4 linked regions of the Alligator mississippiensis genome follow. The protein of the gene in region 2 interacts with the protein of the main gene of each other region in a biochemical or structural test. Links are inferred from orthologs where the notes say so. Each region holds a gene or a part of one and is shown on either strand. Other genes may lie near its edges. The genes, in order: ARHGAP32, CRK, MAP4K1 and ABL2.

Region 1 (7,073 bases), on a different chromosome or scaffold from region 2:
CAGTACTGGTGGCACAGCTGATTACCCCCATCAGATATTCAATTCCGAGTGCAAGTTTTGCTTAGGATAAGTGAGGAAACTTTTATGGGTCTCTTCCTAGTCCCCTTCCCCGTTCTCATGCCCATCATAAAACTACCCCACAAACAAGATGGCATAACCTAACACAACTTTGCTGCCTCAGCATGGTAGAGGGCCTGTAGCTGAAACAGCAGGAGCAGCAGCAGACTAGGAATCAGGAACACTACAACTGCTGTGCAAGGAATCAAACCCATCTTACACCTGGCTGAAGCCACATATTCATAGTAGCTAGGGTCGGGAGGGACCTGAATAGATCATCTAGCCTGACCCCCTGCAATATCGTTGTAGTCCCATGAGAGCAATTGCTCCATTCAAATTTCTAGAATCCTTTCAAGTTAACTATGTCTCCTTAGACTTTTCACCATTCCATCTCTCTCCCTTCCTCAGCAGCACATCAGCAGATGTTGTATCATCATAACCAATAAATGTAAGGCAACAGCCCTTACAGATATGAGAGATGGAAAGGGACTGTTACTGAGATATTCTGCCAATATTATAACAGGAAGCTCCAGTGAAAGCAATCCTCCCCGTTTTATGATAGAACCGGAGTGCACTTGTTTGCAAAAGAGAATATGGTGGATAAGGCCTGGGAATTTATTCAGAATTTCCCTTCAAACAAACTCTCGCCTATAACCGTGGCCAAGGAAATATTTATAAGATGGATCCTGGGGAAAATAACATACTTTGAATAGACTGACAGAATACCATCTAGTTCAACTTATGCATTTGAAATGGGGGTTGCAGGGATCTTCCCACACAGAACGTTTTGAAGTTTATGCGATCTGGTGCAAGCAAATGGCAAAATATTTACTCTTCAGAAGGTAAGTTTGAAAATGACAAGCTCCAGGGAAAACAGCCAAGGCAAGACTGCTCCCTATTTTACATTAGCTGGTACCATCCCCAGTCTAAATGTTAAGTGCCCCAAGCAAAAAGACAACTTCCTTGGAAATCTGTTCCATAGTTTAAGACTAAGCTAGGAAGTTTTCTTTTTCCTGGTATTCAGCGAAATAACCTTATTTCTGTCACAGGAAGGCTCAAAACTAAAATTTAAAAGAAGACAGTGACAGATCCATATTGAAGCAACACATTTAGACTGCAACGTCTTGTTAACAACCTACATAAACACTTAAGGTTAATAATCATCAATCCCTACTGCCAGCTAGGCTGATCAGGCTCAAGCCTCACTTGTTAATTCAGAAACTCCACCAGCAACTTTATTTTGGATGGACACTTTTCAGATAAAGATGGCACAATGCAATACTGAACTGCGAGTTAATTCAGTAAAACCAGTTTGCTTCTGGCAATGTAAAGATATTCCAGTACGTTATAAATACACCTACTTTCACCACGTTAATGCTTTTAATTCTGTAATTGTCCCAAATAATAGGTCTTACAGCTGCATGCTGCTAGACTCTGACCCCATTTTTCTCCTTTTATCTTCCCAATCGTGTCATATCCTCCACGGAATATAAGTTTGATTCTTCCAGATGGCTACAATATGTTCAAACATTATAAAACTGTCAAATATACCAGGGTAAGTTTGTGGTACTGTGTAGCACAAAGAGTCCTTGGATAATCATCATGAAAATTTACCAGCCCAGGAACAAAATATACTTGCTTGCTCTTTATCACAATGAATGTATGCAAGTATAATATTTTACATGCCAGTCAAAATAAATTGTTCACCCAAGGCTAACGCAATTTTGCAAAACAGGAATGAAAAGACATCTGCGGGGAAGGAAACAAATTGTATGTTACCAAGTACGCGTGTTAGGAGGTCTGTCCCTGTTCTGTGGAAATGGATGCATTTATCCCATGTTTACTCCTCAGCTACATTACTATGATCCCAGCATTTCAAACGCGCTGAACAGAGGTTGCTATAACAGTCTTTGAATCACGAGCGCAGAGTCCTGTATCACGGAGAGAGAAATGTTCTGATCGTACCGGAAAATACTGCTCAGTACGACACCTCTCCCATTAAACGAGACAACTATATGACACAAAAAAGAGTCATCTATTAGCCTTCTCCCTCATCGTCACACTAGAGGAAAGTCCCAGGATAAGCAGGATCAGTCATTACAGGACACCGGGCTTCTAGTCACAGCTCAGGCCTCGCGAGTCTCTGTCCAAAGTGCTGTTTTATTGCACCCGTTCAGAGAGAAATGTCTAAATTAATTTTCCGTATACCCACCATCTCCACGCTTGATTTCTACAGTTACCGGCACACACATACGTGTAGTTGTACGCAACAAATGAGGGTACCAGACAAGGCAGAAGGGGGGAGGACGGTCTAATTCGATCGCTCGTAAACCAAGCTGGCGACAGACACAGACCGCGACGCCCGCGTTCGAGGTGCCGGGGGGACGAGGCACGAATGGCATCGACCCCCGGGTCCCTTTCTGCTCGAGCGGCGGCGGGCAGATGTCACGCACGCGGGCGCCTCCGCACCCAGCCCCGACGTCTCTCGACGGTCGCGAAACGTAGCGCGGTCCGGACGCCCCTCTCGTGGACGCGCGGGGGCCGTTATAAGCGCCCCCCGCGCCAAAATGCCAGGCAGGTGGGCAAGCAGCGAGCGTGGGATAAAGACACGGGGCGCGCCGTCAACGTGCACTCACCCACCAGCCGCACGGACCCACAGACGTCGGCTCCGGGCAAGGCCACATCACGGGCTCGCCATCCGCCGCCCACGACCCGCGACCCCCGCGCTGCGAGGGGAGGAGAAAGAAACCTGGTTAGAAGCGAGCGGCGGGAGGAGGGGAGGGAGGAGGGAAAAGGAAGCAGCAAAACGCCCCTGGGACACCGGCTCCCCCCCTCCGTCCTCCACGCGGCCCGGGCTGCCGACTGACCCGGCTGCGCTGGGGCTGGGGCAGGGGAAGGCCGGGCGGCGGCGGCCCCCGCCTCGCCTCGCTGCGCCCGCCCGCCCGCACCGCACTCACCGCCCGCGCCTCACCCGCGCGCATGCGCACTGCCAGGCCCCGCCCCTCCTCATCCCCATCCCCGGCCGCGGGGGGCGGGGCCTATGCGAGGGGGCGGGGCTTCGTGCCCCGCGGCGGCGCGAGTCGCCGTGTGGGCGGGGCACCCCGCGCGGCCGGGGGCGGGGCCTCGGCCACCTGCAAGGGAGGAGGTGCCACCTCCTTGCAGCGCCTGCCCACGCAGGGTTTCCTAAAAGGCATAATGGGGGGGGCCCCTGAGATTGGTGGGGCACCCCCCAAAGAAGTGCTGCCACCACCTGCGGGTGGTCACCGTGCTCCCCAGGGCACGCGTCCTTCATGCTGTTCTCCGGCCAGAGTTGTAGTCGTGTGAGAGAGGCCTCCTCCTCGCCTGCCGCCCACCTCGCCCCTACGCAAGGGGCACCCCGGAAAGCGCCACTGGGTGTTTCGCCAGGCGCCCCCGGCCCATTGCTGCCTAGGGTGGCCATTCATCCCATTTCACACAGGACAGCCGGTTTTCTGCTACTCTGTCCAATTGACATGAAACCGGGCGCCTTTATGTCCTCTACTTTCCTCCGCAGACTTCCACCAGTCTGACATAAAGGCGTCCGGTTTGGCTCAATCGGAGTAGCAGGAAAGCGGGCTGTCCTCTATAAAACTGGACAAACGGGCATCCTATCGCTCCCGTTCGCACCGCAGCGCTCGGCCCACTCGAAGCACCTGAGCTGCGTGTCAGCGGGGAGTGTCGGAGCCGTGCGGCAGCCCTGATGCTCCAGACGTGATACAAGAGGCAGCAATTTCCTAGCGCGACGGCTTTTCTGGGACCAGCTGGGCAGTCGGGACGTCAGACGCGCTTTCCCATGGAAGAGCTTCTTCCTCAGGTCCCTCAACACAGGACACTAGGCAGGACACGTCAAGCCTCTTTAGTGTGTGCTGCCCTGTAAGCACTTGGGACTAGGCTCTGAAACAGACACCTAAGTGGGCAACTCCATATCTAGAGACTTTTTCTGATGCACAAAGGCACCGAACACCTATGGGTTTCAGTGCCAGTTCAATACTATAGCTGCTTATCGGTCCCTTTAACTGTCCACATAGCTTTAAAAATGTGGCTATTGGCGCGTATTTGCTACCAAAGAATTAGTACTGCAGGTCTGTCGTTGAGAGCGCTCCAGCCTCTAGTACGGGCACAGAGGTGTATGGCAAGTAAGTGCCTTGCACTGGGCAGTCTGCACAGGTGCTGTAGTGTTTACTTTGCCTTCCAGCACAGGTGGGAGGTGGGTAGAGACACATAGGGATTGCAAAACTGCTTTTTAAAAGGTCAGGGAAGGGTGTGCTTTAAAAACAGTTTTATGAGAAGCAGGGAGGGACAGTTAGTATTAAATGCAGCCCTGGGAATATTCCTATCTTGGCTTCTTCTCAGGTTTTTGTTTTGTCTTTTTGTTTTCTTTTGCCTGTGCCAATTGGCAGTGGGGCTGTTAAAATATATATGACTAGCCTGGTGATATCAGCTATCTGATAATATTATTGGTAGAAACTATGCCAGAGTGTTGGAAGAATACAAAGAGCTGACTGAGGACATGCATATTGGTCCCTAAATTGTTTTGCAGGCTGAGCTTTCATTCAAGAGGAGGGGGGAAGCAAATATGTGTCTAGCTGTTACGGTCACAAAGAAAACCTTCAAAACACAATGTTAGAGTCACCGTTGTAGTGATGACTGCAAGCATGCAGAGAGCCTGATACAATAGCTCTGAGAGGTGTGAACTGCTTCTAGTCTCTCCGTGCCAACTCATGCTGATGAAGGATACTTAACAATGTTGACATATATTTGGCTGCACATGAAACAAGAGAAAGTATGCTATGAAGATGTATATAAGTATGTCCTGAAGTGGCAGTGAGGGCAGGCAGTGGGTTCAAAGAAATACTGGCTAAAGTGGGATGCATCATTTAAGATGGCAAAATTGCAGAGCGGTGTGTGATTTGTTTGAGGGACATTAGGCTATGGCCTGTGGCTTTGCAGCTTTCTCTTGTGATGCTGTCAAACATGACAACTGCATGATAACCTGAACCCTCATTACACAAGCATTCAGATGAAGGCACTACAAAGCAGAGCACCTTCACTAACTTCTTTTAGTCCCTGCCAGGAGCAGGGCAGGGCCGATGCACCAGATCCCTGCCCGCAGTGATGTCTTCAGGAAGGAGGGGAGGAGAAATCAGTTTAGGGCTTGCCCAGCCTGTGCTGGAGGGTGGGGCAGATGGATTGGAGCACCCTCCCACCTCAAATCCACCCACCCCACCCTCCATAGCACGTTGGGCAAACCCCACAAAGCTTCCTCCCCTCACTTCTCCCCATTCCCATCCTGAAGATAGCACTGGAGCTGGGAGGAAGGGCATGGGGCTATAAGAGAGAAGCTGCAGACATACAGCCACTCCAAACTGGAGCTTGATCCCCAATCCCCTAACCCCTTTGACTCAACAGTGAATGTCTGTTGGGTTGTGGGGGGATCACTGTAACTCATAGCGCTTCCTGTGAAGCACCATGACTTACAGCAGGGATCTGTATATCTGTCAGCACCCCTGGAGTACTGCAAGATGTACTTGTGTTGATTCAACGGAGGGCACTTTTCCCTTTCAGTGTGTACCACATCCTGGCCCCACCATGGTGCTCAAGAGCAACGTTTCACTGAAAATACTACATATTGCAAGACATAACACCTAAGGTCTGGTCTTTAATGGTTACAGCAAAGATGCTAGGGGCTTTTTTCATATGAGAAAGTATCCTGGTTTCCAGACCAAATACTTTCCATTTACCTACAGTTCCTCTTGGATTTTTATGGGTATAAGATTCTTCATTACCCCTGGTAAAAGCTGTAATAACTGTAACCTGTTAAAGGCTTGTTTTCCACCATGTAGGGAAGTCTAAATTAAGGTCTCCTAGGCCCCTTCTGAAGTTTAAGACCCTAGGGCAGGGGTGTGCAAAATGGCAGATCTGGCCGGTGGCCAGACTCCATTTCCCACCATCCCCTGCCTGCGTCACTCTAGCCAGTCTCCATGAAGACCTGAGGAGCAGCAGGGCCATGACAGTGCAGGACCAGGGTCTCCATGGAGACCGTCTCAAGCCACGCTTGCAGGGCGTGCAGCTGGGCAGGGAGCTGCTCTGGGGCAGGGGCCAGGATTTTGTATTGGTGACAGCATGGGCTCGAGCCAGAGTATGTGGGCAGTGTGAGCCTGACCCAGAGCATGCAGGCAACAGATCACAGCTCTGCCCTGACCTTGGCCCACACTGTCTCTGCTGCAAGATCCCAGCCCTAGCCCCGGAGCAGCCCCCTGCCCAGCCGTGCACCCAGCCAGTGTGGCTCGGGCCAGTCTCCATGGAGACCCTGGCCCTGAACTGTCACAGCCCCACCACTCCTGGGGTCTTCATGGAGACTGGCTGGAGTGGCGCAGGCAGGGGCTGCTGGGAAATGGAGTCTGCTGAGGGCCCAATCTGGTCCTCAGGCTGCATTTTGCCTGACCCAGCCCTAGGGCTTTTCTTTTTATCTGTGAGTTTGTTACTTTAGATATGACCTCCATGTTGTTTTTCTAAAGTTTCCATATGCTTTACCAATCACTTTTATGACTAGTTTTGACACAAGATTGCGTGGATTTCTACCTTCATTTTCTTCCCTCCTTCACTCTCATCAGTAAAACCTGATTTCTCTGTTTTATATGTAAGCCATCGAAAATAAAGCCCAATGTTAACTGTTTCGGTTTCCCCATCTCTCCACTTGTTTCTTTGGCTGTCGTGAAGATAACACCACATTCACAAGACTACTACAATGGAAAGTCAAGTAAACTCCATTAGAATTGTTCAGCTTGCCTCTGTTTTCTACTGGTTACAATTTAGTATTATTATTAGTAGTAGTATTTATTGTCTATAGTTGCTCTAAGAGTCAGCTGGCCAATAAATATGCTGCACTTTTCCAAAAAGTAACGGAACCACTAGAGGCATACAGAAAAGCCTAAGGTATTGCCAATTTATGATACCAAATTTAAACCTGGTAGTCTCTGCACAGGGGAAAATGCATG
Region 2 (7,979 bases):
CTTGAGGAGAACAAGATAGTGCAATCTTGCAAACAGGTGGGACAGGAAGTTTACAGCATACGAGACAAAGCAATGCTTCAAGAGAGCATCCTGAAAAGTCAGTGGACAATTGTTACGACTATGCACACCAAAATGCTATTATTTTTTTAGGACATATTGCATCCTCCCATCATTAATAATACTTTGGAAATGAGCAGATGCAGTAATTACTCAATATGACTGAAAAACGAAGCTGCAGCCTAGAAAGACAAGAGAACATTATTTCATAGAGCTGCTTTTCAATTTTCATCAATCATTTCTCTTGCTCTCATGATGAGCTAGAATAAATCCATTCTTTAATAGATTTTGGCTATTCTATTCATTAGTTTTTGTATCTGTATTGTTAAATAGATCTCAAAAAACACGTGACCCCTCAAAGTCCAACTTTTTTTGTTTTAAATATACTTTTAGTATGAAGCATCATAAACAATGTGATACGCAAACATGATCTGCTGATATTAAAGGGAATTTTTCAAACTGGAAAGGCAGCTACAAATAAAGAAATTACTACTATACATTTGGCAACATAAACTCATTTCCTTACCTAGCAGAGATCTACTCATTACCCTGCTGAAAGCGTGTAACAACCCAACACCTCCTGAGCAGATTTGTAAACACATTAGGAAACTAGTTTACAAAAAGAGATGCATCGTGCTATCCACTTCCGGAAGAGTAGGGGGCAGAAGCAGAGTTAGTTTCTGATGCGTGGCCTTTTAAACGCTTAACAAGCTGTACTCCAAGCCCTGGGGCAGTGTGGGTGCCAAGGCCCACAGTTGACAGCCCAGAGACCACAACTTCAAGGCCCGAGCAGAAGTTCTCATCGTGCAACCTGCCAGATCGCAGTGAATCTGAGAGCTCTGCTAAATACCTTGTCACAAAGACACAAAAAGGAAGAAAGGTTCCAAACCTCAAACATGGGAAGACCTACACATAAGTAATCTCACTTTGTTAAATGGAACTGCCCATATGCAAAATAAAAGAAGTTTTAGCCAGTGTTGTGCAATGCACACCACCACAGGATGGTTATTCAAGGTCCTGAACACATTGACTGAACTTCCAAAGCTTGCCTAAGTCACTTAGGAACTCAATAGTGGGACCAGTGCTCTTCAACTGTACCTTTTAAAATCCCACTCTCTACCCCAGTGGTTTTCAACTGGGGTGCTGCAGCACCCTGGGTTGCCTCGAGCTCTTTTCAAGGGTGATGCAGGTTGCCACACATTAACACTCTCAGGTGTACAAACATGATTCACGAGATAAACCCAGAGATTTCACATAAGGATCCACTGCATTAAACCCCTGACTTGCTATGGTCTGAGTTCTTTGCAACAGAAGAACTACTCTACTTATTATTTTTTCTGTAGTCAAGATAAACGAGGGAAAAGCTAGAGCTGGAAAAGTGAGGTCCCAACCAGCCTTACAAAGTATACGAATCACAAATCTGTTACCAAATTACTATAAATCCTACAAATCAAATGTTATGCATGCCACAAAGCAAAAGACAATAGGCTCAACAGACTAAGCAACGTACCCATATCTAACTTAATTTTCCTGAACACAGTCAATACTCTCTTTTCAAAACAACGTATACGCCAGGTCAACTTCAACAGTGTGTTCAGTGTGTTATTGCTGGAAATACAGAATATATCCCCCCCCACCCCACACACACACACACACACACTTTTTTGTAAAAAAATAAATAAATAAATAAAGGCTAGTATCCAGCCTTTGTAATCGCTCCTCCAAAAGGTCCCAATTTTTCTACTCCTTTTTTCAATGCGAACACTAGAACTACGTTGTATGCTATGCTTCTACTGCTGCCACACACCCAGGTAAGACGTCTCCTATTCCATGTTCCTGTTTATACAGACACGGGGATCGTGTTACCAGCCGCACCGGACCGAGCCTGCGCCCAGCGCGTGACCCGGCAGCAAGCCGGCGTTCCCCGCAAACATCGTTACCGTGAGATACCCACAGACGAGGCGTGTTCCTCATGCTGTAGCTAAATATTACTTGGCTATTTTTTTTCAAATCGCATCCAACTTTGCCATACTGCATCTCAAAGCGCCCCTTAAAGAAATCATAAAACTCATCACGGTCACGGCCCCGATCTGAAAAAAGAACGCAATACAACTCTTTTCCAGGAAGGTCCAATTCAATTTCTCTTCAAATATCAACTTTGGAAGGACATTTGAATTAACTTTTGAATTTTCCTGTTCAATTTCCCTTTAGATAAACACCAGATTTTAAACTCCGTAAATGCTGCTGTTCCTTCCCGGGCCCCGGGGGGACGGCTGGGGCCTGGATCGGGTGGCAATGTCGGAGCTCGGGTCGCCTCAGGCCACCTACCTCAAGCGAGGGCCTCGGCGCCACCCGCCCCGGCCCGGCCCGGCCCGGCCCGGCCCCCAGGCGCAGCAGGAAGACTGGCCCCGTGTCTCCTGGTTTAGGCCGCCCGCACCCGCCCGAGGCCAGGTAGCGCCGCAGGCTGGCCGCGCCGCGCCAGGAGGCGGCAGGGTCGGGGCCGCGCTCCGCTCCGCTCCGCTCCGCTCGGGGCAGGGCAGGGCAGGGCAGGGCAGGGCGGGGCGGGGCGGGGGAGCGCGGCCGGGGCCGGGCGACGCGGCCTGAGCGCAGCCCGCGACCCCCCCGCAGCCCGCACTCACCGGGGGCGCCGGGGCCCTCTCCGCCCGCGCGCCGCCCGCCCGCCGGCCCCAGGCTGTTGACGATGTAGTGCGAGACGCGCGAGCTCTCGGACACCGACAGCACGAAGTCGCCGGGGATGGTGCCCGAGTCGCGCACCAGGAAGGTGCCGTGGCGCTGCCCCTGCAGCAGCGACACCGCCTCGGCCCGGCTCAGCCGCCCCCAGTACCAGCTCGCCCGGTCCTCGCAGTCGAACTGCCCGGCCATAGGCCCTGCGCCGCGGCCCGGCCCTCCGCGCGCCCGCCCGCCACCCAAAATGGCGGCGCCTCTGCTGACCTCACCTTCCGGAAGTGACGTGTCGCGCGCCAGCGCTCAACGTCATCTCTGTGCGCGGTGGCTCCAAGGGGCGGGGGCATGGCCCGGTTCGGCCACGTGGTCCGCGGTCCAGGCGGGAAGGTCTTTTTCAGTCCCCCTTCTTTACAGAAAGAAAGAAATGAAAACCAGCCCGTTGCTGTTCAGTGAGAACTGGAAGAAATCCCTGCGGCTCAATGCTAGTGGGCAGCTGGGGATGCTTTCTGTACAAGAGTCCCGTGCTGACTGACGGCGCGCTTATTTTGAAGAACTTGAAACTGTGCCGAGATGTGTCTAGTAGCGAGGGATGCATGACAGCACGTGCCACAATAAACACAGTGATCCTGCCGATCTATCCCTCTCTCCTCCTCCTTCCGCAACAAGGGGAATCGCTTTAGGTAGTCAAATATGATCTTTGCAGCTCAGTGTATTTTAATAGCTGCACTTCATACACACCGAACTGGTTTGGACTCATGCATCCGCGTAGCGTGGTCAAAACCAAACCAAACCAAACCCCTCCCGGTGCTGCCCTCCTGGGCCGCACCCCGCCCACTGCAACCGGGCCACCAGAGCAGAGCACGAAAGCCGGCTCCGCGCCGCCCTCCTGTGGCACAAACGCGCCCCTGCAGCCGGGAACAAAAGCCAGGGAACTAAAACCCTGCTCGGTGCTGCCCTCGCGTGACGCGCGCCGGGCACTGCAGCCAGGGGCGAGGGCGGAGAGACAGCGCGCCGGGCTGTGCGTCTCGCTGCGCTGCGCTGCGCTGCGCGGTGCGGCCGGGGCAGGGGCGGAGAGAGAAGAGGAAAAAGGCCGCGCTCGCTCGGGGCGTCACCGGAGCAGTGCCCGCGGGCGGGGCCGGCGCGGCTCGCGCTGCTCGGGGCGGACGCACGATTCTCGGGCATGGATCCCGGCCGGGGAGCGCGGCAGGGCCGGATCCGAGCCTCGTGCTCCCGTTGGGCGCTGTCTTTGTCAGCAGAGCTGCGAGTCACTCGGAAAGGCGCACGGGAGAGCTCAGCTTCGCTCTGATTGGCTTCTACCAGAGGAGGCGGGCCCTGAGGGCTCGCCCGCCCCTTGCTTTCATTCTGATTGGCTGTCGGGAAATGTTGGGCGACTGCGATCCCCAGCGCCCCAGCCCGGCGCGTTCGCCGCCCGCTGAGCCGGAGCCCACGTCCCGCTGCCGGGCCGGGCCGGGCCGGGCCCCCGCGGGCGGGCCCGCAGCGCTGCGGCAGCTGCTCTGGCGCCCAGGGCGGGTCGTGCGGGACCCTGCGACCCCGGGCGCGGGCAGCCAGGCTCTCACAGACCAACGCCAGAAGGGCGGTGACCGACGGGGTGCACGTGGGCCCCGCGGACACCGTTCGCTTCTGCGCTGACGCCGAGACCTCCCTGGAGAGCACCCTGCAAAGCACCAAATTACCCCTTCTTAACGGGAAAATAAAATGGAAACCTCGGTTCACTTCTAGGGAGAGTTTGGGCCCTTTGGTGTAGAGCAGTCCAATACTGAGAGCAGGGGTGCAGTGACGGCGTTGGTCATTGCGGCGCTTACTTTGAAGAACTTACATTGTGCAGAGAGGAGTGCAGTACGGGGGTGTACCGGCATGGACATAGCGTGTGTGTAACACAGTGATCCTATTCCTACCGCTCTCTGTCTCTCTCAGTGGCGATAGTGATGTAGGTGTTCCTCTCTCACCCTTGCACACCACCGCACACGAGTGTCTGTAGTGAGTGCGGGTATCACAGGTGTCTCGCGCATCCGCACTTGGTGTGAAGACAAACCCGGCTCAGTGCTGCCCCCCGGTGGTGCGCTCCGAGCACTGCAGCCACAAGGAGCGGAGCAGCAGAGGGTTGACGAACCCGCTGCTCGGTGCTGCCCTCCTGTGGTCCCGTCGGCGCATTGGCGCAGTCCGTGAAGGCGGAGGAAAAGCCGGGCTCAGAGCCGCCCTCCTGTGGCCGCGCGGGGCATTGCGGCGGGGAGACCCGGGCGGGCACCTGGCAGAGGTGAATGCGGTGATTGGCTACGAGGGTTGTGTGGGCGGGACTAGGACGGCTCCGTTCCTATTTCGCTCTGATTGGTTTGTGCGGAGAGAAAAGGCGGGGAGAGGAACGCGCCCTCCTGGGCCACATTCTGATTGGCTATTGTGCTGTATTGACAGTGTGCATAGCTCTGCCTGCCGATTGGTCCAACTCCGATCCCCCGCGGCGCCCTTCAGCTGACCGGCGGGCGCGGAGAAGGCAGTGCCGGGCTGGCAAGGGAGGGGCGGGGACGCCCCATGGCCCGGAGGCCGCGCGTGTCCCGCTCCCGGCCCGATGCTGCCTCTTTTCTAAGGTACAGGACAGCCCGTGGCTGTTTGGAAAACACTGCAGGCCTCGCTTCAGCCCAGCTCTAGCGCGGCCTTGGGACCGCGGTGTGACATGTGGGGAGCAGGGCACTGAAGCGCCAGTGCTCGGCGCTGTGCACTCGACGACCTTGCACCTAGACAGAGCAGTGTGTGCCAGCGACGTGTGTCCCGAGATCTGCACTCCGCGTGTGCGCAGGACGCGCCGCAGCGAACAGCGTGAGCCGAGCGCCGCGCCCCGTCTCCGCGCTGAGGGGAGGGAACCGCTTAGCTCTCCTAATGCCACGGCGCCTGCGCCTCGCCACGTGTTTAGACGGGCAGGGGCAGGGGCCGGGTCCGTCAGTCCCGTGTCCCGCATCCCTCCCTGCAGTGTTCAACCAACCCCGCCGTGCTGCCGTCCTGCGCCGCGCCGCGCCGCGCCCCGCCCCGCCCCGCCCCGCGCGCGGCAGCGGGGCAGCAGGGCGGGAAGCGGCTCGGTGCCTTCGGCGCATGTTTCGCACGGCGCTTGGCGGCCGGGGGTCGGGGCACGGCACCCCGGCCCGGAGCGCCGCCCTGGGCCCGGCAGCCAGCGAACAGCCGGAGAAACCAGAGCGCGCTCAGTGCTGCCGCCCCGTGGCGCGCACCGCGCGCTGCAGCCGGGAGACACGGGCGGGGACCGAGAGTGAAGCGGCTCCGGCCGCGCCCCTGCAGCTCGGGCAGGCGGGAGATCCCGGCGGGGAGGGAAGAAGCAAGAAGGCGTCGCTCGCTGGCTGGCTCGGGGGCAGGGCCCGCGGCCGGGGCAGGCGGCGTCGCGCTGCTCGGGGAGGACACACGGCCCGTGGGGAGCGCGGCAGGGCCGGGATCGCAGCCTCGCGTTTCCATTGGCTACAGCGAGGCGTGAGGCGATTGGGTGGAGCGGCCGCATGGGAGGGGTCAGAGCCGCTCCGCCCTTCTTTGCTCTGATTGGCCTCTGCCGGAGGAGGCGGGCCCAGGTGGTCTCCCGCCTTCTCCGCGGTCTATTTGGAGTTTGGGATTGGTGAGAGTGTCACTGTCCGTGTGCCCATTGGTCCGACTCCGATCCCCGCGGGCCCGTTCCGCCGGCGCGGCCGGGGGAGGGGAGGCGAATCGCTGCTAACAAGACGTGCGCTGATTTTCTCTATTTTAAAGAGAAAACGACGCGGAAGCCCGCCGTCGGGGGTCAGCCGTGCGAGACTTCCCGCCGGCTCTGGCGCCCGGCTGCGGGCCCGCGGCGCAGAGCACGTGCCGCTCCGAGATGGACGTCCAAGAACTCGGCACTGTCCCGGGTGTGACACACACAAGAAGGGGGGGGGGGCGCGCGTGCGCAATACACACCGTAACAGCCGCAGGGATCCTGCTACTCGTCGTAGCGAGGGGCAGCGGTGTAACGCGTTCCCCACCGTTATGTTCGCTTCTGTGTACACAGCAGTGTCCTCACTTTTGCAGACAACGCGTACGTTGCGCACGCGTGCAGAGTATTCACATACTTTGTTGAGAAAACTTCTCAGCGTTGCCGTCCCTCCTGTCCTTCAAGCTGGCTCCAGGCGGGGAAGCGGAGTGGGGCAAAGCCCCCAACAAGCGCTATCCTACCCTTCAGCCCCCCTCCCCCCAGCACGGGGTGCCCCTCACCCCTGTCCTGGAGCCCCCTATTTCTCCCGGCTGCCCCTCGGCCCTGGCTGAGCCCCCACTTGTACCCAGCAGAGACGCGCGCTGCTCGTCCTGGACTCCTGCACAAAGACCCCGCTCCTGTCAATGCCCCGCAGGCCCAGCCCTCTGCTCCTGGGCACCTGTGGCCAGGACTGCTCTCCCCTCGGAAGAGACCTCAGTCCTGCCCTGCAGCCCTGCACTGCTCCTGCCCCAGGCTCTCCCCTGCCCAGGCCCAGCCCCACAAGAGCGATGCGAGGGCCCCTACTACAGCCCGGTGTTGGGCATTGCTGCTGAGGCTGTAGCCCGCGACCTGAGTGCGGGATGGGCCCCCTCCCCCTCATGCGCACCCCTCAGGACTGCACCGTGGCGGGGGGCACAGGAGGGAGCATCACCTGCTTTGTGCCGTCCACCTAGCCAATGAATTGCTCACTTGTCTGGGCCATGTAGGTGACATCCATCGTGTCGGGGAGTTGGCAGTTTCAGCCATGTCCACGGGCAGCTGGTGAGCCAGACTCGGGGCGCTGGAGGGAACCTGTGAAGCAGAAGTGGGGGTGACTAGCACGGTGACGCATAAGCAGTCAGCGTGAGCCCAAGAGCCATGGTGCATGCCCATCCCGTTGAGTTGTGGCAGACATGGCCCAGCTCCAAGGGCAGACGCTGCAATGCCCGCTCCAATGACGGTTCCACCTGCAACCGGGGAACGTGCTCAGGCTTCTCCTTTGCCCCGGGGAAAAGCAGGCTTGTGACCTCCCGGGCGCAGCGCCCGCTTGCCGGCACGGCAGTGTAGAGCACATGGGTGGTGTCCTTGGTGTGCGGGCACTTGGAGTCGTCGCCCTCCTCGGTTCCTTTTTTCACAAGTGGATTGAGGTTATTAAGGAAATACTTTTCTGGCTTGTGATTTGAAGTGTAGGCTGTGTTGATCTACAGCCATACTGGTAACTTTGTCTGGGCTGTACACCACTTGAGAGACCCGATTTGGC
Region 3 (7,232 bases), on a different chromosome or scaffold from region 2:
ATGCTGAACATTCCTGCGATGTATATATTTAGCCACTGGCTGGAAGCCACTGTTTATAATGAGGGGGCTCCCAGGATGCAACAAAAGGGTGTGAGGCACTTCTAATCCCCACCCCACCTGCACCAGAGGTGGTAAAATGGAAAGGCAAGGTCTGCCCAAAGTGCTGGCCTGAATGACAGCAGCTCAGTAAGGAGTTGGGGTGCAGGAGACGGGGTTGAGGGGCCGCACACTGCTCTGGGTTCAGAAGCCCCAACCTAGAGCAAACATCCCCAAAAAAGGGAGGCAAGCAGCAGGCAGCTCAGCACCACAGGGTTTTCCCCCAGTTTTCTACCATGCAGAACCACATAGAGACCCTCAGGGTCTCCCAGGTAGCTCAAGGGCCAGTGGGATGGAGGCCAGCTCTGCCACAGCCTGCTGAGGGCACTGAAAGAGCCAGAGACATGCATGGCAGCTGCAACTCAGCACAGAGAGAACCCGATGCCGCAAAGCAAAGATGTGGCGGCTCCCAGGCAAAGAGCAACAGTGTAGGCCTCTTCCCCTCTCCCCAGCACAGGGCACAGAGCTGCTCTCGTGGGGCCTTGAGGAAGAATACCCTGCCTGCAAAAGGATCACCTAACCACCCCACAAAGTTGGTCTGATGAGAGATCCCCCACAAATATCCATGCCTGGTACACAATTCCTGGCCAGCAGCAAGATCCAGGTCCATGCAGGAGCGGTGCTGTGAATCCCAGGGTGCCCATTTCTGACTCAGCCATGGAACCCAGAAGCCCTGCTTTCCCTTAAGGCCTTTGAATAGCAATTCTCAGGCAGAGACTCCCTCCAGGGTCCCCGTACTGGGCAGCTGCTGCCCCAAAGAGGCCTCAGGGGGCAACCCCCAGAGCAGCACCATGACCACAGGCCGGCTGCGGTGGCTCAGGCCCTCCCCACAAGGGGAAGCATGATCAGGTCAGCAACAGGCTGGTTCTTATTTATTGGCCACCTACCACCACCTGGCGGTCAGAAGAGTAATGACAGCAGGACCAGCTGCCAGGAGTCCTACTTAGGCTTATTAGTGTGGGGCTGGTTACCTCACCCCAGGAGTCCCGGGTTCTTTCCCTAGCTGGGCAAAGTGTTCGTGCTCCGCGGCAGAAAGAGGAGGTCATTATTCCTCCAATTCGTGGCTGGGGGTGGGAGGGTGGACCCTCAATCCAGCCAGCAACTGTCCAGAGGAGAGAGTCTGTCTTGGGCAACATGCCAGTTCCAGCCCAACAGCACTCCCACCCCCCAGGAGCCTTACCCAGAGCTGGGGCTCCCCCATCCTCCCACCCCTGAGAGGAAACAAGAAAAGATCTCTCCAAACATTTATTGGCCAGGGCTGGATTAAAATTTAAAAAGGAATTAAATAAGAAATAGACCCAGAGCAGGTTCTCACAAGCAGCACAGATGGTAGTGGGCAACAGGGGCATCACAAGGAAGATGCCATGATGCTGGAGACACCTGAAAGAAGGGAGGACAAACAAATTAAACTCCAGAACAGTGACTCCATGTGCTCCAGTCCACAAGAATTCAGCCCAGGGAAGATGCCCATGGGCCAAGGCAGGACCTTGACCTCTGTGGACAACTCACTCCAGCCAGATCCACACCCCTGTCCCCATCCTCAGTACCAGTGGGGCCTCGGCGCTTACTGTCAAAGTCTATTTTCTCTACAATGTTCTTGGGTTTGACGCTCTCCTCCTGGTTGCAGATGAAGACCTTGCCAGGCTCAGTTTCTGTCCAGCCATATTTGCTCATCCAGACCTTGAGCTGGCTGTCTGTAGAGAAGCCAAGGGAATGAGCCAATGGTAGTTTGGCACAGGGAAGGCGAGGTACGAAGGCACATGTGTTTAAGCAGGGGGTGCCAAGACAGAGTAGATCTTCAAGGGAAGTGATAAAGCACCAAGTCTGCCCTAAGACTGCCAGTGGAGAGCAAGTAGGGTGACTAAGCTCAGCAGCGCATGCAATAAGGGCCCCAGGACCCCTGTAGCTGGGACAGCATTCCCAAAACCCAACCCAAACAGCCTGGAGTCACACCAGTAGCAGTACAGCTCACAGACTCCCTTGATCCACTTTGGATGTAGGGCGAGGGGCTCATTTCTGAGAGGGGTCTGGCTTCCCTTTGGGGAACTTACCTGAGAGGTCTCCCAGCATCTCCGCCAGCAACCACCGATCAACGTGCTGGTAGGTGATCCCCACCACGTGGCAGATGACTGTGGAAGGAACACGGACACTTGGTGCTACTGGCACATGTTCAGGCGTGCCCCAATCCCCCGATGCACAACAAGCTGTTGAACCCCTCTGCTGTGCCCTGCTGCCCCCACACGTGCTCCGGGGCTCAGCGGCTGCTGGCTCAAGGGAGGACAACACATTTCCAGGTCTCTATCGCCGTCCGGATGTGCCAGACACGAAGAGGATCCTTGCTGCAGGGAATTCACACTACTTGGCACAGGGGCAACGCGTAGGAGGTGCACCCCCCGCCCCCCTCCCGGTCAGGCTGCACTCCCCGTTTAGCCAGCGGGCAGGCAAGAGCACCAGTGCCTCCCCTACAAGTGCTGCCTGGGGAGCAGGACTGTCAGTAGCATGGCTGCTTTTATGATGAGAGTCAGGTCGCTTGTGAGGCACCCCCTGGTCGCTGACTGGTGTTGGGGGAAGGAGGAGCACGTGCTCCCGCTGACTCGAGACAGACACCCACAACTTGGCAGAGCACCGAGGGCAGCAAGGGACACAGCAGGAGCCTGTCACAGCCGGAGACGGGACCTGGACCTGAGTCTGAGTCTGCCCAAAGGGGATCGTGCAACAGAGCAGAGGGGACAGCAGCCACTCACATTTCCTAACAGAGTCCTCAAAGCCAGTGATCCCGTCCAGCAGCTCCATGTTCTCATCCAGGGCTTGCTGCAAAACAAAGGAAGAACCGTGCATTCGCGTCGGTTAGCAAACACCGAGACAGAGACGGACGCTTCCTGACCCGAGGCCACGAGCTCACAACGCAGCGGCTACAGGGGTGCCGCCAAGGAGGCACGGGGGCAGGGAGGGCGCACGCTCACGCTGCGGAGGCTCCCCGGGCTCAGGGCACCAGAAGGGCAGGACAACGCTCACCCAAAAGGCCTGGAAGTGGCAGGTCTCCAGCAGCTCCCCCAGGTAGAGGATCTGCCTGATCGGCCTCTCTTCTTGCTGCGACGAGCGGGTCAAGGGGGAAAACAGCAAACGCAGACCCCCGAGTTCACCCCCGGGCGGAGGAAGAAGCCGCAAGGCTCGAGGGAGGCCAAGTGTCACGCCCACAGCAGCAGGGAGACCCCTCCGAGCCCTCCCACGGCCAGCGGGCAGCCACACGCTGCTTCTGACCCGGGGAAATAAAAGGATACGTGAGCCTGGTCGATCATGCACTTGCAGAGGGTGAAGTCCGTGTGCGGGAGGTTGGTCAGCGCCTTGAGCAGGATCTGAGCGGTGACGGTGGTCTGGAAGAATGCTGGATTGAACTGGTACCTGAGGAGGAGGGTGCACGTGTTAGTATGGGGGGGGGATTCGCGTGGTGCCCCCCCGCCGCCCCCAAAAGCAGGGTGTGGCAGGGGAGACGACGCTCACAGCTTGAGCACGGCCAGGTTGGCCTCCAGGTCGTAGGCGTTCTCCTTGGCCTGCGTCTCCACGTAGCGCTCCAGCGTGGCCAGGTTCTCCGGGTTGTACCTGGGGCACAAGGCGGCAGCGGCTGAGCACGACTCCCCCCGCCCCGCCCCGCCCGCCGGCCCAGCCAGGCAGCTCTACCCCCACCCGCCCCGCCCCGCGCCGCCGCCGCCGCCTCACCGGTCGATGCCCTTGAGCAGCTTGCCCACGTTGGCCCGCATCTGCTCGAACAGCGCCATGGCGCGCGCGGCGGCAGCGGCTTCCGGGGCCGCGAGCGGGAGCAAAGCGGTGCCGGGCTCTTCCGGCCGCGGCAGCTTCCGCTTCCGGCGTCGGGCCTCGCCGGGCATGCTGGGGCGGGGAGGGCCGGCGTGACACGCGTGCGCACTAGGAGGGGCCGGGGAGGGAGGAAAGCCCCGCCCGCAGTGAAATACCCCGCTAGGCCCCGCCCCCTGGGCGGGCAGGCCACGCCCACGCTCCCCCGCCCGCTGCCGTCGCTAGGCAACACCCACCCTTAGCAACCAGACCCTCCCTCCCCTCCTAAGTGCTCCCGCCCACCCCAGATGCCCCTCCCCTCAAAAACTGCCCCCCTCCCCCAAGCGCCCCCCTTCCTCAGCCTGCCCCCCCACACCCCCAAGTGCCTCCTCCCCCCTCTCATGCCCCCCTCCCCCCAACCGCCCCCCTCCCTCAGCCTGCCCCCCCACACCCCCAAGTGCCTCCTCCCCCCTCTCATGCCCCCCTCCCCCCAACCGCCCCCCTCCCTCAGCCTGCCCCCCCACACCCCCAAGTGCCTCCTCCCCCCTCTCATGCCCCCCTCCCCCCAACCGCCCCCCTCCCTCAGCCTGCCCCCCCACACCCCCAAGTGCCCCCTCCCACCTCTCATGCCCCCCTCCCCCCAACCGCCCCCCTCCCTCAGCCTGCCCCCCCACACCCCCAAGTGCCTCCTCCCCCCTCTCATGCCCCCCTCCCCCCAACCGCCCCCCTCCCTCAGCCCCCCCCACACCACCAAGTGCCCCCTCCCACCTCTCATGCCCCCCTCCCCCCAACCGCCCCCCTCCCTCAGCCTGCCCCCCCACACCCCCTCAAGTGCCCCCTCCCACCCCAGATGCCCCTCCCCTCAAAAACTGACCCCAGTTGCCCCCTCCCCTCAGGGTGGCAGCCCCCCCTGGTGCCCCCTCCCCTCCAGGACTGATCCCCTCCACTCCCCCCCCCACCCCAGCAACAGCAGCAGAGAGCAGCGCTCCAGGTACGTTTTCATTGGCTCCTGCGAGGGATCCGGTGGTCCCAGCAGGGCGGGGCTCCCCTCCCATCTCGGGCGGGCCGTGGGGCTGGGGGTCCGGCAAAAAGGGAGCAGGGGTGGGGGGGGCTAGGAGTCAGAGCTCAGCCCTGCCGAGCTGCCGCTCGAAGCCCCCCCTCTTTGTGCCTCAGTTTGCCCCTTCCGCCGACTGGGCGCAACGATCCCAGGATCAATTAATAAATAAACGCTGGACTCAATTAATAAACGCCCCTCCCTCCCTGCCACTGCCTTGCTGCCGGTGTGGCTGGGTGGCGGGCGCCGGGTCCCTGCCCCCCCCCACGCCGACAGGGCTGGGGGGGGCCGCTCGGCCGTGACATCCTGCCCCCGAGCGGGGACAGAGCAGGTGATGGCAGGGCGTCTCCTTGTTTCCCCGCAGGCGCCGCGAGGTGTCACAGCCGCGCCGGGCGCCACACGCGTGCTGCTCGCGCACACGGACGGGCACGAGGGCCAACGCCAGCCGCTCCCGCACCTGGGGCCGTCGGGGAGGCCCTGCGGAGCGGCCTCCCGGGGCCACGGCGCTGCAGGGCTCCCACGTGCTGTCTAGGGGGCCCCCTGGGCTCGCCGCTGCGCCCGGCTGCTCAAATCAGGAAATAAAAGCGAGCGAGCGAGCAAGCGTTATCAGCCCCTCCGATCACACACACGCGCACTCCTGGGTGCAGGGCGCCGCAGGCTGCACGCACGGGCGGGCGCCCAGACATGGATGCCCAGGACCGAGCCGCACTGGATATTTCCACCAGGAACCCCCAGGACGACTTCGAGCTGCTGCAGAGAGTTGGCGGCGGGACGTACGGGGAAGTGTACAAGGTAGGCCCGAGGATGCGTCCCGCTCCCTTGCCTGCATGCGGTGCCGAGCGTCGCATGGGTGGGGGACGAGTCTCCACTACCCTGCCGAGACCCCAGGGTTTTGGGGTGCTGGGGGAACACGTCACCCTTCGTGCCCACGTGGGGCGAGGGCAAGCGGTGCAGGGAGCTCCGGGAGCCACGGCGGCGAAAGCAGATGCAGGAGGGGAAAGGGCCGAGCGGGGCCAAGACCTGCACCTGCCCGGGACAGTGCTGGGGATGAAGGCGTCAGCAGGGCTGGCACCCCCTGCACCCCTGCCTGGGGCAGCCAGGCGTGTGGAGGTGCTTGCTGCCGGCTGTGGGTCGTGCTCGGGGCCCAGGGTGCTGCGGGCGTTGGACTCAGCCCCCTTGCACAGCCCTCGTGGTCCCTCGCCTGGGTTTGGAGGGGCAGAAGAGAAGGGCCCAGCTCGGGCCTTGCTGAAGGAAGTGCATTGGCACTGATTCCCTCCGTACCCCCGTGGGCGTAAATCAGCAGAAGCCCCCTGGAAACAGCGTGGGCGCGAGTAGGGCCCGATCCCTCGGCTGGGGTGGACTCTCGGAGTCAAGGGGACGGTGTCCCCAGGGCCCCGGCGGGTGGGAACGGATGTCCCTGTCACCTCCCCCCCCCCCGTGCACAGTCATCTTCACCGGAGGGAGTGGGTGTGAAATGCCACGAGCTCCCCACGCACCACAGCTCACACCCACTCGGCTCCCAGCCTGCCCCGCTGGAAACCGTGTCAAGGCAGCTGGGGGGCAGGGGTCAGGCTTCCCTGGGCCCAGCGCGGCTGGAGTCAGGCCGCTTGGCCCACAGCGTCGGGGACCCGCAGTGCCCCTCAAACATGGCGGCTTGGAGGGAGCAACATGGCAGCGGGCTGTGCGGGGCTCCTTTGCCCACTGCTGAGATGCGCCCAGCTCTGGGGTGGAGCAGGGAAGCTGTTCATTCAGCTGGTCTAGAAAGACAGCCACCTCTGGGCTGGGGCAGGGCAGCTGGGGCAGGGCAGCTGGTTGCACAGGGACCCCGAAATGCAGCTGGGTGCCTCTGCGGGGGAGATGCACAAGATCTGGGAAGGGAGGCAGCTTCAGAGGAGGGTTGAGAACAGTTTGGGGCGGCAGTGGGACAGGCGGGCACAGGCTGGGCACCGAGGTTTGCAGGCTGACGGGGCAGGGCCGTGGGAGGAGGGAGCCTGGTGCCTGCTGAGAAACCCCGGGGGCCTGCCGGTAGCACCACAGCCCCGGGTGCAGGTGCTCCCGCCTGCCTCCCAGCAGCTCCAGCACAGGGTCCGGTGCCCCAGCTGCCAGCAGAAATGCCCCAGGGGCTGGAGCCGGGGCTGAGCACCGGGACCACGGGTCTTTGCAAGACCGTCAGTGTCACAGGTGACATTGGCCTGTCCCTTGATGCCGGTGCCCCTCACTCCTGACCCCACACCGGTTCTAGCCCCAGCCCCACCACGACCCCCAGGCAGGGCATCCTCCCTCCAGTCCCATC
Region 4 (7,907 bases), on a different chromosome or scaffold from region 2:
AGACGGCTCACAAGAGGCACAGGTAACTTCAGACACAGCTTTATATGTTGTTTCTACATCCCTCTCCAAGAGCACTGATTGTAAGGGAACTCAGAGAAACATCACAGTCACTGGCCAGCTACAGATGTCAATGTCAGAGCAGTCTTTCCCTCCCCCCGCCCTAGTCTTTTCCATGTATGGAAGATCACCCTATCCCCCTCCCTCTTGTTAGTTTGTTTGCTGCAAGCCTTTCAAATCTCCAAAACACTCCAAATCAGTTTGGAGACTTCCAATTCGATTCAGACCTTTAAATGGGTGTTCTGATTTGATTTGGATTTGGAGATTTGGCTGTCAGTTCTGGCTGAATCTCCTCTGAATCAAATTGGCTACCGAAGGCTTGCATAGCGCTACTAGCCATCCATTTGATTCTCTCTTCCATCAGCCTCTTGAATATGATGTTATACTGGTGCCAATTTGGAGCTTATTTCCTGAAAACACATTCACTGCTGTATCCATTATAGATAACCAGAGCATTGGTGGGCTCCTTTGGTCAGCTAGGACAGCAACAAGTTGCACTATTTAACTTATCTGGGGGTTGCAGATATGGAACTGCAGGGACTGAAGGATTAAATTCTGACCGGCTATACCAAAAGTGGCTAGTAGCTTCCAATGCACAGAAGGCAAGTGGGAAATGAGCATGTAGGAGGCCAGAAAATTCAGCCCCAGAGAATTGTGCGATGGTACTGGAGAGCTAATAAAACTCAAGTTCTACAATTTGGGCATCAGCTATGTCCATATTACAGAATAGTGGGTTTTGAATTCTTACTACAGTAGAACCAAGGCTCTGAACTATGCTGTCAGACATACTGGCCTTGGCATGCAGTTCTCAGTTCCCATGAGTTCCCTATCTCAGGTGGCCATAGCTATGCCAGGCCTTATCTAGGTCTTGCATTCTACTTGGGATCACAGGGCCATAGCTGTGCCTGGCCTCCTTTTAGCCACAGTGTTGTAGGGGCCAGGAGTTAAGGCACCCCACCCCACCTTTCACCAGGGTGGTAATTGGCCTGGTATTTCCAGGGGACTCCAACACCACTAGGAGCCCCAGCAGGCTACCCATCCCCAGCAGGGTACAGCTTTTAGGTCATGCCCAGGACCAGGAGCCTCAAAACCAACCCCTTAAGCTCCTGCCCTTACCTCCAAGATATTACATACAGCCTTATAGCCAGCCAATATTTCTACCTAACTTACCAGTAGTGAACAGCTCTGTTTATATAGGTGGCCAGAGATCTAAAATGGCTGCTGCAATCAAGCACCTGCTGGCTGCTTGTCTCAGCACTTAAAGTGGCAGGCACCAACAGTGCCCTGCCACAGACTTTTAGATGTGAAATAATGCAATTAGCATCTGCCCTACACAGTTTTCTCTTCTACCTTCCCTATTTCCATTAAAAGTGTGTTTTTTACAGTGCTTTCTTGTGACGTGCATTTTAGTGAGTCAAAGGAGTGTGTCTTCCACTTGCATCCTGGACCTTTATGTATATCGGTCCCACACTTTAAAGAAGAGAACTTGAATTTGAGTTGATATTTAGTGAGGAGCTAATGCAGTGAACAGAGGACTGGTTTAATTTATGACACATGTACAGGGCAGCCAATGGTACGAGCACAAGCCTTCCTAGAAGTAGGGTCGGAAGGGACCTTGTAGATCTTCAAGTCCGACCCCCTGCCTGGGCAGGAGGAAAACTGGGCTCAAATGACCCCAGCCAGGTAGGCATTGAGCCGCTTCTTAAAGACCCCCAGGATAGGAGCCAGCACCACTTCCCTTGGAAGTTGGTTCCAGATCCTAGCCGCCCTAACTGTGAAGTAGTTCTTACAGATGTCTAATCTAAACCTACTCTCCAACAACTTGTGGCCGTTATTCCTTGTTATCCTGGGCGGTGCTAGGGGAAACAAGGTCTCCCCCAAACCCTTCTGGTCCCCCCTAGTGAGTTTATAGACGGTCACAAGGTCCCCCCTCAGCCTTCTCTTGTGAAGGCTGAACAGGTTCAGGTCCTGTAGCCTTGAGGGGATACAGATCCCTTCTGAACCCTGATGAAATATATGCCCCTGAATTACCTATTCTCTAGATTTTAGCCAAGTGAAAAATGAAGAGAGAGCAGCAAAACGTGGGGGCAGAGGAAGTTTGTTTATGACACAGACATCCCACACATGCCATCAACCAGCAAACATTTTTTATGCCTTGTACTATTCCATCCTAGCAATTGTTCACTGCATGCTAAACCATTATCTAAGAATGTGTTGCCACCTTGCAACTCTGTACCAATGTGGTTATCATGCACAGGGTTTTGTTCTTTCTTTGCATAGCATTGGATTAAAACATTTTCACCCCTTTTACCCTGGGTTGACATAAACTGCTTGACTAACTGCATGTTCTAGATTGCATCAACATATGACATCTGTGCTCCACGTGGCTACCATGTGCAGGGTCTTACATTCTCTTCAGTCTCTACAAAGCCATGTAAAGCTATGATTCTTAACTTTCATTAATAAAGTGTTAATTCTCTCCCTAACTCTCCACCTTCTGTGCACTTTCTCCCAGTGGTGAACTCCCTTAGCTTTTAAGTACTTAAGAGTTTTATCCTTTTAATCAGAACATTTTCTGATGCAGATACATAGCAATTTTTATGTAAGTTTTTGTCTTAATGTGCCTTGATGTTAACAAAACTATTTTTACCAAACTGGTGATTATGTCAGTTACCATGCAGGGGCAGAAAATCTCACTGAGTTTTAGAAGCCACTGGTTGGTTAGTCCTCTGCAATCCTCAGTGTGGGGCAAACTTTTTCTAGCCTTCACCATTTGGACTGGCTTTGAACACCCACCATACTTTTGTTCCTGCTTATCTAAAATGGGGCTGGGAAGGGGGATGAATTCCTATACAAAAAGTGTGGGACTCATTCCTACCAGATGTTGTGGAAGCCAAATTCAAGAAGGGATTAGAGCAGGGGCGGGCAATTATTTTGCGCGGAGGGTCGCTTACTGAGTTTTGGCAAGCCATCAAGGGCCACATGACAGGAAGCTGGGGACAGATAAATATTAATTTTCTAAAATTTTTAGGGGCCCCATGGGCCAGATAGAATGGCCTGGTGGGCCGCATCTGGCCCACAGGCAGCATTTTGCCCACCCCTAGATTAGAGTCATAAGAGAAGTAGTGCTGGAAGACACCTCCAGAGGTCACCTAATCCAGTGGTTCTCAACCTTTTTTGTACCAGGGCCCATTTGTAAACATTGATGGCCAATCCTGACCCAATAAATAGTTTGAGTAGAAAACAGTCCCCTTGCCCTGCTGGTGCCCCTCACTCCTGACCTGCTGCCTCCTGCCCCCCCAGTCTGTGGGGTAGGAGTGGGTGTGTGGAAGCAAGGGGAGCCTCAAACAGCCCCTTACAGGCTGAAACTCTGCCAACCTGCAAGGAAATACCCCCAGTTTCCCATGTTTTTCTCCTTTAAGGGAGAATCCATTTTTAAAGTTTGTCTGCGACCCTTTCCTATATTCTTGCGACCCACTTTTGGGTCACGACCTATGGGTTGAGAAACACCGTTCTAGTCCACCCCCCTGCCTGATGCAGGATCATCCCTATCCTAACCATCCCATAAAAACCCTTATTTAAACTCTACGTAAGACTGCCCTCAACCCGGACACAACACAGACCTAACACCCAAACCTACCACAGCCTCGTAAAGCAAGGGGAACCAGGGCAGCCAATGTCCTGCTTCTGTGAACTGTTACTATATGCTCAAGAAGTCCCTGGTAGAGGGCTACATCCCCCCCTCTGCCCCCACCCGAGGAAACATTGGACACAGTGTTAGAGGAAAGGGGTATCAGTAGCTATTGAGCACAGGATTTAGGGATACAGCCTCTGGATCAGAACTTCCTAGACCTTAAATGCTGGAGATTGCAAGTGTGAGGAACATTGGGAAAAGCCGTGGCCAGACCCAGTTCACTCCCCCTTTCAGCATCCTCTCTTTGCCCCTGTGTGAAGCAGGAGACCCAGCAAGATGGGCCGATGGTTTGAGGCAGTGAATGGCAGCTCTTATATTCTTAAAATCCTGTGTTGGAAAAAGGGTGGGGATGGCATCACCTCCAAAAGCCTAGCCCTGGGGACAGAGAGGTGGGGTTGCCAACTTGTTTAAATCTATTCCAGGTTTCCCGAATGCCAACAAATTTGTGAGACACAGCGCAAACGTGCCGGCGTATATCAGTTACAGATTACGATGCATAGACTTCACGCCAGGAAGGCAAATGCACATTACTATTACATTTTTAAAACCCACTGGACTACTGTATAAATTGGACTCAACGTTTAATTTATTTGAATGAATGCCCTATCATTGATCTCTCCGGTACCTCTCAGCAGTCTCCTGGAGACTGTATCTATTTCCTGGAGACTCCGGGGCAATCCTGCGGGGTTGGCAACCCTAGAGGTGCTCAGCCCTGTCAGCCTGAGGTGAGGCAGAAGGCAGGGTAGGTAGATTTGCACCGGCCAGACTCAGGACATCAGATAGAGAGAGCAGGAGCGCGGGTGAGCCCGGGTCACTTCCTCAGGCGCTTGCACAGCATCTGAGGAGATGAGCTCGTTCCCCGAGGATCCTGCTCCGCAGGTCTGCAGCGAACCGCTCTACGAGGCCCTGGGGACTGGAGGGGGAGGAGGGGACACGCGGGGCGGGGCGGGGCCGACCCCCTCGGAGGACCGGAGGTGGCTGCGGGAGCCACTCTGCCCCCTCTCCCGCAGCTCTGTGGTTAAGATGGCGGCGGGGGTTGAGGGGGCGAGCCCGTGACTCCCAGGCCGGAGCGCGGCGGGGCGGGGCTGGGGCCAGCCCTGTAGGGAGCCGCCGGGCCGGGGGTGCCGAGGCCGCCCGCCGGGCCGGGCCGGGCCGGGCCGGGCCGGGCCGGGCCGGGCCGGGCCGCGGAGGCGGCATGTGATCGGGGCGCGATGGGGCAGCAGGTGGGCCGCGTCGGGGAGCCGGGCGCCGCTCTCCAGCAGCCGCCGCCTCAGCAGCAGCAGCAGCCGCCGCCGCCGCGGGGCCTGCGGGGGAGCAGCGCGGCCAGGCCCGCTGGGCGCCGGCGGGAGGCGGCCGGGCGCGCCGCGGAGGGCGGCTTCAACATCTTCACCCAGCACGGTACGGGCCGGCCGGGGTCTTCCTAGGAGCCGGCGCGGGGGCGGGGGGCGCTGGGCCCCTCCCGCGGTGGGAGGGGGCGCGGGGCGGGCGCTGCTGGGAGGGGGCTGGGCTCCCGCGTGGGCTTCCCGGCCCTGGAGGGACGTGATAGAAGGCGGCTTTCCCTTGGGCCGCTGCCTTACCCGCGCCCGCCCACATTATGTCCCACCGTGGCTGTGACAAGTTTGGCAGCTTCTCCCCCATGTTCCCATGTCCCTTGGGGCCGAGCAGGTGTTGAGGGTGCTGGAGAGCCGGGACTGTCACTGAGCGGGGCTGCCCCTCCTCTGTCTGGGGGTACAGCACTGTCATCCTGCTTGTGGGATGGTGTTTCACTTGCTCAGTGAGGAGGGTGGCTCCTGGCAGGCAGTGGCCTAGGGGCAGCTCACGCTTCTTGGCCTGGCTTTAATAACTCGGTCCTCTGTCAACCGACTCTCATGTGTTTGAAGTCCAGCTTTGCTTGTCCCAATGTGCTTGTCTTTTCCTTCTCATTGTCAACAACCCTCTGTGGTGCTGCCTGTGAAGGGAGAAAGTCGGTGGAAAGTAGGGAGCTTCCGCAGGAGAAAGTCAGCTTAGAAAAAAAGCCTAAACAATAGATGCGACAATCTTTAATCCCACATCTTTCCTGTACACTTTTTCCTTTTTCTTTTCTTTGTGTGGCATACTTACACTGTGCTGGTATGCACTGAACCCTGGCAGGTTATCAAGAGTAGAAGTCTTATATTGGTGCACTTTGTGATGCTAAAGACCTGAATCCATTTCTGAGAACATTAATTGATTTTGTTGCAGGTGAGGAAGATAATGCTCCCATATTCATGCTGCAAAATGCTTCTGAGAGCATAGATTTTTCCAAAATCCAACAGAACAAGCAATGAGTATTAAGATCTTAAACAGCTTGCCGGTTCTTTAATGTAAATATCATCCACTGTTGCTGCTGATAATGGACAGCCATAGGAAATCAGTGCAGGTGCAGGGATTTGTGGGTATTTACAAAATGACACAGGCAGCTTCTAACACTAAATTTATTTCCTAAATAGAAAGTGTGTATTTGTGTGAGTCTAAATATCTGTTGATATGCTGCCTGTTGACTTAAGACATGGTTCTGACTTAAAATTTGCACTTCTAAATGTCTTACCTGCTATAATTGCAAGTTAATTATAAGAGCTGTAACTGTTAAGGAGCTGTTCTGATGATATTCATATACTCAGTTTTGTCCTCTCTCTTGTATAGTCAGCCAATTACTCTTGGCTTCCTAAGTCTTTCAGACAGCACCACAGGGGACAGAGATACTAATTAAAATAGGAAAATGATTGTCAAAAAGACTGCTGGTAACTTCTTAATGTCTACAAGTTTGAACTAGGGCAGGAAATGGGAAGGGTGTTCAGAGGAAGTATAGTACTGTTTTTGGAACCTTATGTAGGTTAAATGTGATGCAGTTAAGCTGGGGTTAGGTTTTCATTGCTCTTTCAACTTACTCTTTTGTGTATGTCTCTATGCTGCAAGAGTAGCCAAGAGTAGGACTTCATTGTGCTAAATCCTTTCCTTGCTTGGTCTCTCAACAGGCAAAGTAGGCAAAGGATTGAAGAAAGGGAGGATTATTAGCCAAGTTCTAGGGAACTGAGGCACAGAGAGGGGTCCTTCAGCTGTTGCTTGGCAGAGCCACAGAATTGGCCCCCCACAGTTCCTCAGCAAGAAGCAGCTCCTGCTCTCTTAGGTCTTTGTACATATCTCTCTATATAGCTGAGGACAGAGGGCGCATGGAATGAGTCCAGGTTCAGAGCAGAACTGGTCATTTGCCCAGCAGTAAGAGTATTTCCCTGTGGTATTAATGATGTAGGTTATTAAACGTTACAGAATTGTTTTGCTATGTACAGTATATTGCTTGCTTCTGCCTTTCAGCTTGTACAGTGAAAATGCCTGGAGACAGTTTTACTTTCAAGCTCTTGGTGTTTGCTTTACTTTGTTTGTGAACAGTTCAGAGGGATATATTCATTGGAATTTTCAAGGTGAATATGCATCATCCTATTTGTTGGGTTCCCTAAAAAGCCAGGTGGCTGGTTTTGTTTTTGTTTTTTTGTCTGTTTTTTTTTTAAACAACTAAACTTGCATGACATTCAGGTGCAAGCTCTGAATCCCAATGCTGCTTCAATCAATACTTTAGTCCTGCTAGTATGAGTTTCTGCACCCAGTTACATTTTACCAGAACTAATTAGTGCCTTGGAGACCACAACCAAAGCCACTAGAGAGAACTTACCATACTGCACTCTAGTCAGAGTTGAATACTTATATTAAAACAAGTCATTGCAGGCAGCAACCTAAGCCCTTTGTGTAGCCTGGGCACAGTTAGATAATCAGGAACTCATTTCCTTTTTCAGAGGGGTTTCCCTACTTTTATCTCTCTTCCACTTGCATTTGTTGCTTTCTCTTGCTCCTGTCCTTAGTCTTTCTTCCCTTTACAGTACTTTGGCTCCCTGATCATCTTCAGGAGGCACACTTCATCTGCTGAACTTCCTTCAATGCATGATCCTTATTTTCCTTGTCCCCAAACGGTTCTGGCTGCTTATTGCATTCCACTTAATTTGGTTTCCTTCCTTCTCTTTGTGACTAGCTTTGTACCTTGTTATATCCGTGTTCAGTTCCTTCTTCTGTTAGAGGGGCAGTATAGTCAGCATTATTTGCTGTGGATAAATGATAGAAGGGATAAGAACACTGGTCCATGTATTCT

Evidence for each region.
Region 1: the proteins of CRK (region 2) and ARHGAP32 form a complex in vitro, tested with the Homo sapiens proteins (2 studies listed by BioGRID and IntAct, with this or other methods). The link is inferred for Alligator mississippiensis from reciprocal best matches to the Homo sapiens genes CRK and ARHGAP32.
Region 3: the proteins of CRK (region 2) and MAP4K1 form a complex in vitro, tested with the Homo sapiens proteins (2 studies listed by BioGRID). The link is inferred for Alligator mississippiensis from reciprocal best matches to the Homo sapiens genes CRK and MAP4K1.
Region 4: of the proteins of CRK (region 2) and ABL2, one has a biochemical effect on the other in vitro, tested with the Homo sapiens proteins (2 studies listed by BioGRID and IntAct, with this or other methods). The link is inferred for Alligator mississippiensis from reciprocal best matches to the Homo sapiens genes CRK and ABL2.

The regions. Positions count from the first base shown.
Region 1 is NC_081839.1:24,945,668-24,952,740, forward strand, and holds the start of ARHGAP32 (rho GTPase-activating protein 32), read right to left. Parts: upstream 3,012-7,073; 5' UTR 2,925-3,011; intron 2,784-2,924; 5' UTR 2,742-2,783; coding exon 2,694-2,741; intron 2,674-2,693; exon of another isoform or gene 1-2,673. UniProt on the Homo sapiens protein: GTPase-activating protein (GAP) promoting GTP hydrolysis on RHOA, CDC42 and RAC1 small GTPases. May be involved in the differentiation of neuronal cells during the formation of neurite extensions.
Region 2 is NC_081837.1:284,085-292,063, forward strand, and holds the start of CRK (adapter molecule crk), read right to left. Parts: upstream 3,002-7,979; 5' UTR 2,941-3,001; coding exon 2,697-2,940; intron 1,715-2,696; exon of another isoform or gene 660-1,714; coding exon of another isoform or gene 584-659; intron 1-583. UniProt on the Homo sapiens protein: Involved in cell branching and adhesion mediated by BCAR1-CRK-RAPGEF1 signaling and activation of RAP1.
Region 3 is NC_081838.1:1,988,782-1,996,013, reverse strand, and holds the start of MAP4K1 (mitogen-activated protein kinase kinase kinase kinase 1), read left to right. Parts: upstream 1-4,218; 5' UTR 4,219-4,876; intron 4,877-5,303; 5' UTR 5,304-5,623; coding exon 5,624-5,731; intron 5,732-7,232. Other genes in the region: EIF3K (eukaryotic translation initiation factor 3 subunit K), read right to left, coding at 1,445-1,476, 1,665-1,790, 2,148-2,225, 2,841-2,907, 3,112-3,186, 3,378-3,498, 3,598-3,696, 3,814-3,872. UniProt on the Homo sapiens protein: Serine/threonine-protein kinase, which plays a role in the response to environmental stress. Appears to act upstream of the JUN N-terminal pathway.
Region 4 is NC_081828.1:51,224,604-51,232,510, reverse strand, and holds the start of ABL2 (tyrosine-protein kinase ABL2), read left to right. Parts: upstream 1-4,891; 5' UTR 4,892-4,962; coding exon 4,963-5,149; intron 5,150-7,907. UniProt on the Homo sapiens protein: Non-receptor tyrosine-protein kinase that plays an ABL1-overlapping role in key processes linked to cell growth and survival such as cytoskeleton remodeling in response to extracellular stimuli, cell motility and adhesion and receptor endocytosis.